Pelodiscus sinensis: one gene and its partner. The protein of the gene in region 2 interacts with the protein of the main gene of each other region in a pairwise test. Links are inferred from orthologs where the notes say so. Each region holds a gene or a part of one and is shown on either strand. Other genes may lie near its edges.

Region 1 (7,329 bases), on a different chromosome or scaffold from region 2:
GTTTTTTAATTGTATTTTTATTCTGGATGGCTTCATTTCCTTTCATTGTAAACTGGGAAGGTGCTCCCAGCAGGAGCAAACTTGCTATGTTAAAGAAAACCAAATGTGTATTAATCAGAGAAAAAAAGATATTAAATGTATAATTTTGTACAGATTCCAGCTTGTGTTTGAGTGAGAAAAAGTATCAGTTCTCTTTTTTTATTGAACCACAAGTTCATTCAGGTCCACAGGAAGAACTAGCAGTAAGCTGAATTCTACCATGTGACAAATTTTTTGGATCTAGCAAAGCCCTTGTATAACCTTGGTTCAAGGATCAAATGAAGCTCCACTAGTATTTGCAACAATTCCCTGTCAGTTTACATGAGGAAGTTATTACATGACCTCACCAGAACTTTCTATTAAAAACTCTGGTAAATACTAGGTTGAGTTTCTGATTGCAGCGCTTAATAACTATGCTGTTTCACAACACCCCAGTAACAAAATAAAGTTTGGCAATATGCTTTACATTTAGAAGAAAAGTAGTCCAGGAAACTGAAGTTAATGTGATTAGAAAAACATGAATCCTAAGTATGACACATGGACATGCAGTTACTCAACTGACCAAGTTCTAAATAATGAAATTTCTCCACTCTTCTAATAAGCCTGTACTGTTCCTGGCCTGCCTTTGTTTTCACAATTGCAACATACATAGAAGTAGTAACACAGAATATTCCAGGACAGTACAGTTAGTACTGTAGCATTTTACCATAATTTTCAATAAAGATTTTCCCCTTTCCCCAGTGAAATTTAGAGTAAACTTGACAATTGTTATGGACTCTGGAAACACACAAGCACTAACAAACAGATGATAGAGAATTTATCCAAGAAATATTTATTTTCCAGGTATACAGAAAAGTGTGCCTAAAGAATTACAGACCGATAAAAAACGCTGGGGGAACCCAGCAGGGAACATGTTTCTGACACAAAGGGCCTGATCCACCCATGCCCTGCACTATGTGTAATAATTTACACTACTGGAGAATGCCAAGAATCATTATGTAAAGCAACAGACTGTGCTCCCTGAATTCAAAAGGCACAAACTAATGTACTTTGGTCACATTAGGCATAGTAATAAAAGTAACCCCAAACAAGTTTTAATGGAAGTAATGATGGTGGATCATGATAGTCAGGGAAGACCTGCAAGATGGACAGATAGTGTGTGGTAAATCACTGAGAGATTAGCTACTGAGCGTACAAAATCAGTGGTGGATTGAGGAGGCTTGTGAAAATTCTGTTATGTCACCAGTATTCAGATATGAATAAATGGACTTAACCCACGTGCTTAAAACACGAGTGCAAAACATTACCATTCTTACGGCATATTTCTACTACACATTAGCAGCTGTGCCACTGTAGCACATCTGGTGAAGATGCGCTAAGCCAGGGGTCTCAAACTCCCAGCCCACGGGCCATCTATGGGCCGAAGCATATACAGGAGGCTCCCGACTTGCAACCACCCAAGTTCCGACCCCCCGCACTTACAACAATTTTTGTAAGTGCAGAAGAGGCTGGAAACCCCCGACTTACGTCCTCGGCTCACATTTACGACAGGCGCATGGCACCTATCGTAAATGAAGGTTCGCGTTATGACATCCCCGACTTGCGACACTTCCCCTGGAATCAATCACGTCACAAGTTGGGGGCCTCCTGTATGTAATTCTGTTTGGGAGTCCGGACGGCCCAAGGGGCATTCTGAGCCCATCCCCGAAGCTCCAACTCTTCAGCAGGCACACTTGCTCTGCTTCCTTATCATTCCTGTTGCCGCTGCTGCCCCCCACACTAGGTCCCCTCAATAATCCTCAAAGCTGGGTCTCTCAGAGGATGGGATACCATGGGGGAGGGGAGATAGAGGGAGAGTCAGTGATGGAAAGGAGCAGGCCTTGGGGGACAGGTTCAGACATGGCCCTCTGGGCCACAGGTCTCCCAAGCCGGACTGTGAATACGCTCTGATCTGTAGATGATCCTCAGGCCAGGAGTTTGAGAGCCCTGCTGTAAGCAAATGTGAGAGCTGTCCTATCAGCTTAGTAATTCCATTTCTGTGAGATGTGGTAGTAACTATGTCATGGGAGTTCTCCCATCTACACAGTGCTGTCTACATTGGAGCATATGTGTATGTTAAAGTCGGTATAACTACATTGCACCCTTTAGCAGTGTAGTTATACTGAATTGTATAGCATAGATAAAGCCTCATACATACGATGACTTTTCACACTCACTTTGTGCTGGCCTGACTACACTAGGTGCAAGACAACAATAGATCAAGTCCAAGACTCCTCACTGTTGAGAAGTACAAGCTTAGGTGAGGTGCAAAAGTTGCACCAGTGAAGTTTAGCTGAGTACAGACCCATGAATTCCCCACTCTCATTTCAGTCTATGAAAAATCTTAAAAAACAACAAATAGTCCCACAGCACCTTGCGAGACTAACAAAACACATAGATGGTGTCATGAGCTTTTGTGGGCACAACCCACTTCTTCAGATGAATGGAGTTACGGGGTCCAGGCTTTCAAATTTGCAACCTGGACCATTTAACTCCATTCATCTTAAGCAAAGGATTGTGACCACAAAAAGCTCACGACACCATCCACATTTTTTTTTTTAGTCTCTAAGGTACTGTGAGACTATTTGTTGTTTTTTAAAGTTTTTTTCCAGTTACAGACTAACACAGCTTCCCGTCTGAAATGTCAGTCTATGGCAGCGGTCAGCAGGGGCTACATGAAGCCCACTGGGGTCCTCTGCGTGGCCCGCAAGACTGTTGCCAAGCACAGAGATTCTGCTGGTTTCCGTCCGTGTGGTTTTTCTCCGACTGGTATTACTACAGTGCCAGGCACGTGGCGCAAGGCCACGGGCGGTGCGGTGCGCGCCGACGGCACGGGCCATTGTGAGAGCCGCGTGCGTCCGGTCGAAGCGCTGCGACGGGTCCGTCGGCTCATCCCGCCAACTCCAGGGACACAGGCACAGTTGGCAAAACTACCCTCTCGCGGGAGGCCGCCTCGCTTGCGACAGTCTTGCGGCCCCTGAGAGGACGAGCCGCTCCTGCCGCCTGCTCACGCGCCTCGGTTGCCCACGGCCCGTCGGGTGGCGGCGCCCGGTTCAAATGGCGCCAGGCACAGCCCCCCGCGAAGCCGGCCCTGCAAGAGGCTGGATGCTCTTCGCCCTGGCACGAATGGCCGCTGGTCCAGGCAGGAGGGGGGCTTCCCCAACCTGGCTGCTGGGGGCACTGTAGCCATCCCTCCCTCCCAGAGCCGTTGGCCTCCCTTGTGGAGTCCCCCTCCCCCCGCATGAGACGGTTCCCGCCTGAGAGACCAGGCCCCTCCCCCACTGCGGCAGCGCCGCTCCCGAAATCTGCTCCACCGAGTCGCGCCCCTTAGCAACAAGGCTTACCTCACCCCGCGCCAATCAGCGGCCAGCACCGCTCGCCCCTTCCCCCCCGGCTCTTCCAGAGCTTTCTCCCTAGACTCCTCTGGGAGCCAATCAACGACCAGTCTCGCCCCCTCCGCACCCAATCAGTGTCGATCAGTGCCAGAACCCCGCCTACCGTCCTCAGGGGTTGCGAAGCTTCCAGAGCGGTCTGGCAGCCTTCTCACCGTGGCAAAAATCCCTCCGCGCCTCGGAGACTTCGGTTATTCGGAGGGAGAGCGGTGGATTTGGCCGAGAAGGGGACAGGGCGTAGCTTTGAGACGTCCAAAAAGGTTCCGGGAGGAGGAAGGACCCCTATTTCCCCTGGATGCAGGCCCACCGCTGGGAACTATTTTCTGCAGCGCACTGATACTAGCGGGGCGTGACTGCGTGCGTCGACTGCGTCACCCGTCCCATAAATAGGAGCGGGCGGAGACACCCTGTAGCAGTGCGGTTTCGTAGTAGCGGGGTAAAGTCAGCCTTTGTGAAGCAAATTTTTTCGGTTTTCTAGACGAGCGTCCGGGCTAACGGTAGGCGCTGGGGGGCACCTCGGCAGGATGTGAGCGGGAGGGCGATGAGGACAGTGGCGCGGAGAGCGGCCTGCGCGCGCGGCGGGGTATTAACTCGGCCCTGCTCTGTGTGGGGAAGGCGGTTGGGCGCGAGGGGCCCCGGCCTAAGATGGCGGGGGCTGCGCGGCGCCATTCGCTCGCCTTCCCGGAAGAGAAGGGCGCGAGTCACGGGCGCGCATTGTGACTGGGCGGGAAACGGGGTGGCCCCCACATGCCGTAAGCGGCGCCCGTCGCGCAGAGGGGGATGGGGCCGAGCCGCCGTGGGGGTGCGGGGCGGCCGGGACGGTAAAAGTCCCAGAGAGTGGGGGTGGGAAGATGGCCGCGCGGTTTTTTTTCTTCCCCTCCCCCATTATAAGCCTCGCGCTTAGTTCCCTGGTGGGGGCGGGGGAGGGAGCATTTGGGTCCAGGCTCGATCTTGCTCAGCTCAGACTCCCTTTGTGGGCAGGAGATGTTGTGCTTTAAGCCAGCACCATCTTGGTGTTGAGACTCCAGGAAACAGGACTGGGAGATTTGTGTCTCCAAAATATTTCCAAGACTTTCTTTACTGGCATATCTTGAGTCACTTTTTGTACTGCAGTGTTAGTGGGAAGCTTTTGGGGTCTGGGTTTTTGTCCTGTTTTGTAGCAAGTTGATCATTATGGGAAGCTGAACATTTTTCTCGTTCTTTGTACAGTTCACCATGCAGATCTTTGTGAAGACCCTGACTGGCAAGACTATCACCCTAGAGGTGGAGCCCAGTGACACCATTGAGAATGTGAAAGCCAAGATCCAGGACAAAGAAGGCATCCCCCCTGACCAGCAGAGGCTGATCTTTGCTGGCAAGCAGCTGGAAGATGGCCGCACCCTGTCTGACTACAACATCCAGAAGGAGTCCACCCTCCATCTTGTGCTGCGTCTGAGAGGTGGTATGCAGATCTTTGTGAAGACCCTGACTGGCAAGACCATCACCCTAGAGGTGGAGCCCAGTGACACCATTGAGAACGTGAAAGCCAAGATCCAGGACAAAGAAGGCATCCCCCCTGACCAGCAGAGACTGATCTTTGCTGGCAAGCAGCTGGAAGATGGCCGCACCCTGTCTGACTACAACATCCAGAAGGAGTCCACCCTCCATCTTGTGCTGCGTCTGAGAGGTGGTATGCAGATCTTTGTGAAGACCCTGACTGGCAAGACCATCACCCTGGAGGTTGAACCCAGTGACACCATTGAGAACGTGAAAGCCAAGATCCAGGACAAAGAAGGCATCCCTCCTGACCAGCAGAGGCTGATCTTTGCCGGCAAGCAGCTGGAAGATGGCCGCACCCTGTCTGACTACAACATCCAGAAGGAGTCCACCCTCCATCTTGTGCTGCGTCTGAGAGGTGGTATGCAGATCTTTGTGAAGACCCTGACTGGCAAGACCATCACCCTAGAGGTGGAGCCCAGTGACACCATTGAGAACGTGAAAGCCAAGATCCAGGACAAAGAAGGCATCCCCCCTGACCAGCAGAGACTGATCTTTGCTGGCAAGCAGCTGGAAGATGGCCGCACCCTGTCTGACTACAACATCCAGAAGGAGTCCACCCTCCATCTTGTGCTGCGTCTGAGAGGTGGTATGCAGATCTTTGTGAAGACCCTGACTGGCAAGACCATCACCCTAGAGGTTGAACCCAGTGACACCATTGAGAACGTGAAAGCCAAGATCCAGGACAAAGAAGGCATCCCTCCTGACCAGCAGAGGCTGATCTTTGCCGGCAAGCAGCTGGAAGATGGCCGCACCCTGTCTGACTACAACATCCAGAAGGAGTCCACCCTCCATCTTGTGCTGCGTCTGAGAGGTGGTATGCAGATCTTTGTGAAGACCCTGACTGGCAAGACCATCACCCTAGAGGTTGAACCCAGTGACACTATTGAGAATGTGAAAGCCAAGATCCAGGACAAAGAAGGCATCCCCCCTGACCAGCAGAGGCTGATCTTTGCTGGCAAGCAGCTGGAGGATGGCCGCACCCTGTCTGACTACAACATCCAGAAGGAGTCCACCCTCCATCTTGTGCTGCGTCTGAGAGGTGGCTGTTAAGTTATTGTGGCTCTTCCTTTACAAGATTGCCAATAGCATTTGTTTTGCACTGTAGCCCGTCAATGTCTTAATATTGTAAGTTAACTGCAAGTTTCAGTAAATGCTGAACAGTGTATGCTAATAAAGGTTTTTGTTGCACATTATATGGTCTTTGTGAAACTATGCAGTACTTACCCAATTACCAGTTTTAATCTGATTGTGTTCCATGGAGTGGTATGTGGAGGCTTAGGTACTAATTCTGGTCTTGAGTTTACTTTTTAGATCAGAATATACAAAGTAATGAAATCCTCAACTTAATTATAATGGGGAAAATTCATTGATATACTAATTCCAATACATTTGAGACAGGAAAGGAGGTTCTGGTCCCCTTTTCATAGTAGGCATTCTCAGTTATGCCTCTCTGCTTAGTAAAACTTAAAGCCTACTCTAAAGAAAGGAACATGCCCCTCTGCTATAGCTAGTGCTGTTGCTCACTTGGCCTTTTTCAAACCGCATTAGTGTAAGTCCTGCTGTTTATAATGGTTTTCTTAATGGCAATGGTATTGCAGTCAGTTTTTCCCCTCTTCTATAAACTGCATCAACCATTTGGCATTAGAGAATGTATTCAGTGCATTTTTTGTTAATCAAATGAGATGATCAGCCCACTCAATGTAGGGTAACAAATGCGCACAAACTGGCTCTAGGTTTTCTTTGCACACATGAAAACTGGCTCAAGGGAAATACTAGCTTTCTAAGAAGAACTAATGCTGCTATAGGTTTCCATACATATATTTGAATAGTTCTACACTTCATTAGAAGGGTTAATATCGCAGTAGTAAATAATGGGCTTTAGCTTTAAGCAAAAGAATGGTGGGATAGAATCTTTCTGCCTAAACTTGCCCACTACTGCCAGCCATAGTTTTCTGTAAAACTCTTCCTTTTTCTTCAGAGCTGAGCCAGTGTTAGCTGCATCAAGTGGTGTGGGCTGTTGAAAATAGGCTGTCCAAACATGTTTAACCTTATAGCAGTGCATAAAATACATAAACTCAAACATAGCTATTCAGTTCGTTGTTTTTCAGAAATGTGAGGTATTACCTGTAACTATAGGCTGAGGATGTTTCAGCCTTACCAACAGGTCACTGGAAAGTGTCAACAGCAAGTACTGTTACTTCATTAACAAAATACATTTAACTCATGCTCACTGCACACAGACATGACTTGTGTCAATGGCTAAAACAATTGACCTGACTCCCTTTGTAAATAGCTTCTAAACTACAATAGTAGAAACCCA
Region 2 (8,249 bases):
AAATAGCAGAACCTTGTTGTGTTTTTAAATTTAACCTTGAATGCTGGTGCCTGAGGAAAGGCAAGATTAATTAGAGGAGGATGAGGTCAGTAGAGATTCTGAAGGGGACTTGTGAGCATTCCCCAAACGCCCTTCCTCCCTTCCCCACGGGCTCTGTGCAGCTACTGCAGACAGCCCTATCCTTACCAGGAGGCAGCAAGAGGCACAAGAATGGGCCAGAGAACACTGGAGGAGCAGGGGGCAACTGTCCAGACAGTAGTTAGAGAGAAGAGGCGGTTTTCCCTTCAAATGCCACTGCTCTCCAGCCACTATCTACGTAACCGCCCCCTAGTCCTCCAGCCACCCCTTCACCTGTGCCTCTCACCTGCTCCCCTGAGGCTGCAGGTGAGCTTTTGTTTGTAGTTATGGATGTTCAGAAGTCAGATGTTTGAAACACGGGGAGTGCCAGTATTACGAATTCATATGTAACCAAGTTTACTTTTTGGGTGTGGAGCACAAATAAAGACAGGACATACGGCATACCTCAGAGTAAGCAGGAGGTGCATCGGTATATGGTGGTGCCTGAGGAAGAGGCATGGTCTGTGGGTACACAGAAGGATTACCAGGAGGTTGCACTGGGTAGGATGGCTGCGTCGGATATTGACCTAAGAGGCAGAAGAGAATTTGGCCAGCGTTAACGGAGCTGCCATTATGGAAATGGGACAGAAGATGAGCTGATGGAAAGCCCCCTCCTTTATAGATCCTTGATAGATTCATTGAAATTGCCTCTTGTTATGTACAAATATTGGCTGAGTGCACAAGAAGGAAGGTACAAAATAAAGTCCACTCGGTACGCGTAGTCTGATTGGAACTAAAAGCAAAAACTAATTTCTGTACTGTTAAAATCCTTTAAAAGAACTAGGCCACTATGAAAAACAAACACCTTCATGTGCAGAGCTGCTGACAAACCACCCTATTTAGAATTAGGCATTTCTCTGCTCAGACTTGCAAGTCACAAAGTTTTGACTCTGTGCCACAGAACTACGCCAACTACTGGGACATCAACAATACTAGACCCTTTATCATTTGAAGTTCTTGATAGGCTGTCACACGTGCTATTTTCAAAGAGCATATGTTAATGAACTTAATGTTTTACAACTTAACATGGTTAATCTGTGTACCGAGAGAGAGAGAGAACAAAAGGGATATCATAGATTGCAGCAAGAAATAAATATAGTCCCCCAAATAAGAGCAGATCTTTTCCCTAACCCAAGCTCTCCCCCACACACACACACACACTATTCTTTCTTACCCATTTATTAATTTATGCAAAAGATTACATTGCATTAAAATGGCATGCATCTTAACGCATCAAGAATAAGTAACTGTAGGGTGATAGAAATGTAGCCGTTAGTCTGGTGTAGCTGAAACAGAAAACAGGACTATGTAGCACTTTAAAGACTAACAAGATGGTTTATTAGGTGATGAGCTTTTGTGGGCCAGATACAATTTTAATTGTATCCTTTGGTATATATGGTTGTGACAATTTTCTTCCACTATTTGATCTGAGGAAGTGGGTCTGGCCCGTGAAAGCTCATCACCTAATAAACCATCTTGTTAGTCTTTAAAGTGATACATAGTCCTGTTTTTTGTTTTAACTGTATGGTAGCATTGCTCTTCAAGTCAAGGCCAATAAGAAGCCCTGCTTAACATCTTGGTAAAATTCTGAAGTGATCTATTAATCCTTACTGCAGCTGGCTCTACAGTCAGTTTCTCTCATCAGGCCACTATCGTGTTTAAAATAAATAATTTCTATGTGTTTTTTCAGCTGCTCTGAACATAGCCAGCAATAGCAAGGAGGCGTTGCTTTAATGTGTCACCATCCAGGAGGTGATGCTTTCATGTGTCACTGTCAGGTCAAAGCTGTGTTCTTGTAAAGCTCTACCAAACCAAAGGCCAATATCAATGTTTCTATGATCAGTACAGATTCAAAACACAGCCTTGAACAAAAAAAAGGAGTGGAGGGGAACACAGTGATCTTGCAGGGTAAACTTGAATTCTAGTCATGCTTTTATAAGAGGCTCATTGCCATGAACATGAGAGCACCCAAAACTAGAGGGAGCCACTGCCCCGAGGAAAATTAAGAGAAAAGAAGCAGCTTTGCTGATCGCAAGTGACCAAGATTCCTGAAGTGATTAAAAGATCTTAATACCTCTCGAAAGGCCGGCAGCTCATACTACCCAAGGCAAATAATAAACACAATCAACGGGAGTTGTACAAATGTGTATTAACCCCTCAAGCACAGCTCCTCAATGTCACAGACCCCACCACTACCCTGATGGCCTCCTCCACGACTATCACTCCCCTCTCCAAGGTGCTGCTGGGGCATAGCGCAATCCTGCAGACAGAGCAGCTCTCTTACGGGAAACAGGCGAGGGAGAGACCCCGTGACACAGTTTAGGGATTCTCAGCAAATCCAGGTTCACGCACTGAACGGCTGCATTAACTGTTACGTACAAGCCTCCCAAGAATGCCTGGGGCTCCCTGTTTCTTCAAGGCAACAAGGAGTCACCACCCTCACCCTCTTGCCCCACCATTCCCTTGTGCCCTTCTAGCTGCCTTATCGTGACCCATGACAACAGTCTCCTGCAGCTACACGCGCTGCTACAAGCATCCCCCCTTCCCCCCAAAAACCCACCCCCACCTGCAGAACTACTGCCCCCAAGGAGCTGACTCCTCCCCTATGCAGTGACCCCTTCCCCTGCCTCCCCCATAGGGATGACCCCTCCACGCACCCCTTCCCCTCCTCCCTGTGAAGTTGACCCCTTATTCCATGGGGCTGACCCCTCTCCCACGGCACAGACCCCTTCCTCACACCCCACCCCTGTCTCCCCCAAGAGGCTAACCCCTCACCATAGGGCTGAGCCCTCCCCCCCCACAAGGCTGCCCCCCCTCCCCCAAGAGGCTGACCCCTTGCTATGGGGCTGACCCCTCGCCCTTCCCCCCCCCAAGGCTGACCCCTTGCTATGGGGCTGACCCCTCGCCCTTCCCCCCCCAAGGCTGACCCCCTGCTATGGGGCTGACCCCTCGCCCTTCCCCCCCCAAGGCTGACCCCTTGCTATGGGGCTGACCCCTCGCCCCTCCCCCCCCAAGGCTGACCCCTTGCTATGGGGCTGACCCCTCGCCCTTCCCCCCCCCCAAGGCTGACCCCTTGCTATGGGGCTGACCCCTCGCCCCTCCCCCCCCAAGGCTGACCCCTTGCTATGGGGCTGACCCCTCCCCCCCCACAAGGCTGACCCCTTGCTATGGGGCTGACCCCTCCCCCCCAAGGCTGACCCCTCCCTATGGGGCTGACCCCTCCCCCCCCACAAGGCTGACCCCTCGCTACGGGGCTGACCCCTCCCCCACAAGGCTGACCCCTCGCTACGGGGCTGACCCCTTCCCCCCCCCCCCCACAAGGCTGACCCCTCGCTACGGGGCTGACCCCTCCCCCCCCTCTTGCCTTTTCCGTTCATGGCTCGCTCGGGCGGTGGCTCCGCTCGCTCCGCGCACTTCCTTGTTATTGTCACTGCGGCGCTGCGACGGGTGGGGGGAGGGGCGGCCGACGTCGGCGTGTGCGCGGCGTCCTGACGTCACGGCGCGAGGGGAGAGGTCATGGGGGCGTGGCCTACGCGGGCGAGCGGGGTTGCGTAATGCTCGCCCCGCCCCCCCCGTTCCAAACGGCGAGTCCCGCCCCCACCTGGGGAGCGGGCTGCTTGTCCCGGGCCTGGAGGGGGAGGGGGAGCGGGGGGGCTGCTTGTCCCGGGCCGGGGGGGGAGGGGGAGCGGGGGGGCTGCTTGTCCCGGGCCTGGAGGGGAGGGGGAGCGGGGGGGGCTGCTTGTCCCGGGCCGGGGGGGGAGGGGGAGCGGGGGGGGGCTGCTTGTCCCGGGCCTGGAGGGGAGGGGGAGCGGGGGGGGCTGCTTGTCCCGGGCCTGGGGGGGAGGGGGAGCGGGGGGGCTGCTTGTCCCGGGCCTGGAGGGGAGGGGGAGCGGGGGGGGCTGCTTGTCCCGGGCCTGGAGGGGAGGGGGAGCGGGGGGGGCTGCTTGTCCCGGGCCTGGGGGGGAGGGGGAGCGGGGGGGCTGCTTGTCCCGGGCCTGGAGGGGAGGGGGAGCGGGGGGGGCTGCTTGTCCCGGGCCTGGAGGGGAGGGGGAGCGGGGGCTGCTTGTCCCGGGCCTGGAGGGGAGGGGGAGCGGGGGGGGCTGCTTGTCCCGGGCCGGGGGGGGAGGGGGAGCGGGGGGGCTGCTTGTCCCGGGCCTGGAGGGGAGGGAGAGCGGGGGGGCTGCTTGTCCCGGGCCTGGGGGGGAGGGGGAGCGGGGGGGCTGCTTGTCCCGGGCCTGGAGGGGAGGGAGAGCGGGGGGGGCTGCTTGTCCCGGGCCTGGGGGGGAGGGGGAGCGGGGGGGCTGCTTGTCCCGGGCCTGGGGGGGAGGGGGAGCGGGGGGGCTGCTTGTCCCGGGCCTGGGGGGGAGGGGGAGCGGGGGGGGCTGCTTGTCCCGGGCCTGGAGGGGAGGGAGAGCGGGGGGGGCTGCTTGTCCCGGGCCTGGGGGGGAGGGGGAGCGGGGGGGCTGCTTGTCCCGGGCCTGGAGGGGAGGGAGAGCGGGGGGGGCTGCTTGTCCCGGGCCTGGAGGGGAGGGAGAGCGGGGGGCTGCTTGTCCCGGGCCTGGGGGGGAGGGGGAGCGGGGGGGCTGCTTGTCCCGGGCCTGGAGGGGAGGGAGAGCGGGGGGGGCTGCTTGTCCCGGGCCTGGGGGGGAGGGGGAGCGGGGGGGCTGCTTGTCCCGGGCCTGGGGGGCAGGGGGAGCGGGGGGGGCTGCTTGTCCCGGGCCTGGGGGGGAGGGGGAGCGGGGGGGGCTGCTTGTCCCGGGCCTGGGGGGGAGGGGGAGCGGGGGGGCTGCTTGTCCCGGGCCTGGGGGAGGGGGGAGCGGGGGGGGCTGCTTGTCCCGGGCCTGGGGGGGGGAGGGGGAGCGGGGGGGGGCTGCTTGTCCCGGGCCTGGAGGGGAGGGGGAGCGGGGGGGGCTGCTTGTCCCGGGCCTGGAGGGGAGGGGGAGCGGGGGGGGGCTGCTTGTCCCGGGCCTGGAGGGGAGGGGGAGCGGGGGGGGGCTGCTTGTCCCGGGCCTGGAGGGGAGGGGGAGCGGGGGGGGCTGCTTGTCCCGGGCCTGGAGGGGAGGGGGAGCGGGGGGGGGCTGCTTGTCCCGGGCCTGGAGGGGAGGGGGAGCGGGGGGGGGCTGCTTGTCCCGGGCCTGGAGGGGAGGGGGAGCGGGGGGGGCTGCTTGTCCCGGGCCTGGAGGGGAGGGGCAGCGGGGGGCTGCTTTGGCTGCGCTGCGTTTCCCTGACAGGTATTGGTTTGGGGGGGGAGCCACCTCTCCTTCCAGCCAAGGAGACCAGACGCTCTTCCTTCTCCCTCTGTGAGCACCAACATGCGGGTAGATGTTTGATAACAGAGGGCTCTTTAATCAAGCAGACAAAAGCATAACGAGCGCCCCTGGCTAGAAACTGAAACTGGGCCTCTTCAGGCCACCAGTAAAGCACACACATGAAACAGGGTAATTTACCATTGGAGTAACTTCCCAAAGGAAGTCACAGCGGGGTAGCTGTGTTAGTCTGTAACTTTAAAAGCAACAGCTGTCCTGTGGCATCTTAGAGACTAAGAAAAATATACAGTATCATAAGCTTTTTGTGGGTGAAACCCACTTCCTCAGATGAGCTGGAGTGGCAATAACAGAATCGAAGATATATATAACAGCAAAAGAAGCACCGGTCAATTGTAGGACCTGGGTTAATTAAGCTAATTAAGTGGGCTGCCTGTGTCCCATTTATATCTTTTGATGTGACAATGGGGATGTTAAAGGCAGGGGAGATGGGCTTTCTAGTGCATTAATCATGTTTTTATTCAAGCCCAGGCTAACAATGTCATATTTGTAGATGAATTCCAGTTCTACAGTGTCTCTCTGTAATTGGCTGGTGCAATTTCTTTGTAGAATAATGGCTATTTTTAAATCCATGATTGAGTGACCAGATAGGTTAAAATGTTCCCCTACAGGTTATTGTGTGTTACCATTGCTGATGTCTGATTTGTGTGGAGGCAGATTCTCCATCTCTTGAAGTCTTTCAAGACAGGATGACTTTAAAAATAGACTGTAGCTCAGCCACTAGATACAGGCTTGTTGCAAGACTCACTGACTAATGCTCTCTCAAGTAGCAAAGAGCTGTAAACAGTCAGTTGAGCTAACTTGGGGGGGGGGATCCATGTAATCTTCCTTTTTTGTTTTTTCTCCCTTCTGAATCGGACATAGAAAAGGCAAGCGTTTCTAAGTTCATACATAAAAGATCAATGGAAATAGCTGATAACCTCCAAATATTTTTACATTTAATTAAGCCTTAAGGCGAGTTAAATTTCACCAAGCAGTGGATTGTGTTCATTAGCACCAGCTAATGCTTTATTAGTTATTTTGGCCCGAGCTTTAGGATATGTTAGTTATTTTAAAACATATCCTCTTTGGTGTTAAAACAGGAAGTTGGTGTCTGTACTATTCCCCAGACTCCTGTTTCATACCCTCATGGGACTCGCTCAGGAATGGTGACCCCACCTCGTGCATGCCCCTTCTTTACAAGGTGATTGCGGAACCAAGGGCTGGAACCAGCTTGCGTCCATGTGATCTCACACGGGCAAATTCAAGATAATTAATTATTGGAACAACTCGCGTAGAGACAGGGTAGTTTCTACATCCTTTGCCGTTTTTGTCAAGATTGGATGTCTTGCTCAGTGATCTGCTATTGCTAAAACAGAATGAATGAGCCTGATGCAGAAATTCTTGGGTAAGGTTCTTTGCCCTGAGGAGTTCAGACTGGATTATCAAAATGCTTCTTTCTGGCTTTACAGTCGATGGAATCCAGAGTGGTTTTGAGAGTAAGTATCCCATGTAAGCCATGGGTTAGGCAAGTGGCTAGTCAAAATGTCCATTTGATGGAATTTGTTCATTTATTCTTTTAAAAACAACAAGGAATTATGGTACCTTAAAGATTAACCGATTTATTTGGGCATAAGCTTCCATAGGTCAAAACCAATTTGTCTGCTGCAGGGAGTAGTAATCACAGAGGTAGGAATATATAATTCTAGCATATAAAAAGGGGAGTTACTTTACGGCTGTGTCTAGACTGGCAAGTTTTTCCGGAAAATCATCTGCTTTTCCGGAAAAACTTGCCAACTGTCTACACTGGCCGCTTGAATTTCCAGAAAAGCACTGACGATCTCATGTAAAATCATCAGTGCTTTTCCGGAAAAACTATGCTGCTCCCGTTTGGGCAAATGTCTTTTTCCAAAAGACTTTTGCGCAAAAGGGCCAGAGTAGACAGCATAGTACTGTTTTCCGCAAAAAAGCCCCGATCGCGAAAAAGGCGATCTGGGCTTTTTTGCGGAAAACCGCGTCTAGATTGGCCACGGACGCTTTTCTGCAAAAAGTGCTTTTGTGGAAAAGCACCCTGCCAATCTAGACGTGCTTTTCCAAAAATGCTTTTAACGGAAAAGTTTTCCGTTAAAAGCATTTTCAGAAATTCATGCCAGTGTAGACGTAGCCTCCAAGTGGAGGACCACTGTTATCAAGGCCAGTTCAGTCCCACTATGTTTTCCAGGTACAGACTAACGTGGCTATTCCTCTGACATTTATTCTTTGTAACTTGTCCATATGGCATCTCGCACAGTGGGGAGCTGTAATATAAATAATAAACAATCAAATGATTCAGAAGAGAACAGTTCCTTTCAAATGGTCCCAGATAACTACAGCTGTTTCATAAGGCAGTCGCTTGCAACCAGGGGTGCATGTACCACTGGGGGTATGTAGAGGTCTTCCAGGGGATTCATCAGCTCATCTAGATATTTGCCTATTTGCATAAAAAGCCCCAGAAAAGTCTGTACAAACTAAAATTTCATAAATGACTTGTTTATACTGCTGTATCTACTACAGACTGAAATACGAGTACAATATTTATATTATGTTCCAATTGATGTATAAATAGAAGGTAAAAATTAGAAGCTATTTTTCAGTAACAGTGTGGCTCTTGTACTTGGATTTTTATGACTGATATTGGAAGCAAGTAGTTTTTAAGTGAGGGGAAGCTTGCGGGTTTGCAAGACTTCTGAAAGGGATAGAGTGGTCTGGAAAGACAGACAGCCACTGAGAGACCTCCAGTTTGGTTTTGTTATACAGGTGGTCCCTGAGTTACGAATGCGTCGACTTACA

Evidence for each region. The genes of interacting proteins can lie anywhere in the genome.
Region 1: the proteins of DAZAP2 (region 2) and UBC interact in binary tests that used the Homo sapiens proteins (3 or more experiments, as listed by UniProt). The two-hybrid records come from large-scale screens. The link is inferred for Pelodiscus sinensis from reciprocal best matches to the Homo sapiens genes DAZAP2 and UBC.

What each region holds. Positions count from the first base shown.
Region 1 is NC_134731.1:3,489,122-3,496,450, forward strand, and holds UBC (polyubiquitin-C), read left to right. Parts: upstream 1-3,808; 5' UTR 3,809-3,967; intron 3,968-4,679; 5' UTR 4,680-4,685; coding exon 4,686-6,059; 3' UTR 6,060-6,202; downstream 6,203-7,329.
Region 2 is NC_134729.1:2,041,199-2,049,447, forward strand, and holds the start of DAZAP2 (DAZ-associated protein 2), read right to left. Parts: upstream 3,608-8,249; 5' UTR 3,495-3,607; coding exon 3,482-3,494; intron 645-3,481; coding exon 523-644; intron 1-522. UniProt on the Homo sapiens protein: In unstressed cells, promotes SIAH1-mediated polyubiquitination and degradation of the serine/threonine-protein kinase HIPK2, probably by acting as a loading factor that potentiates complex formation between HIPK2 and ubiquitin ligase SIAH1.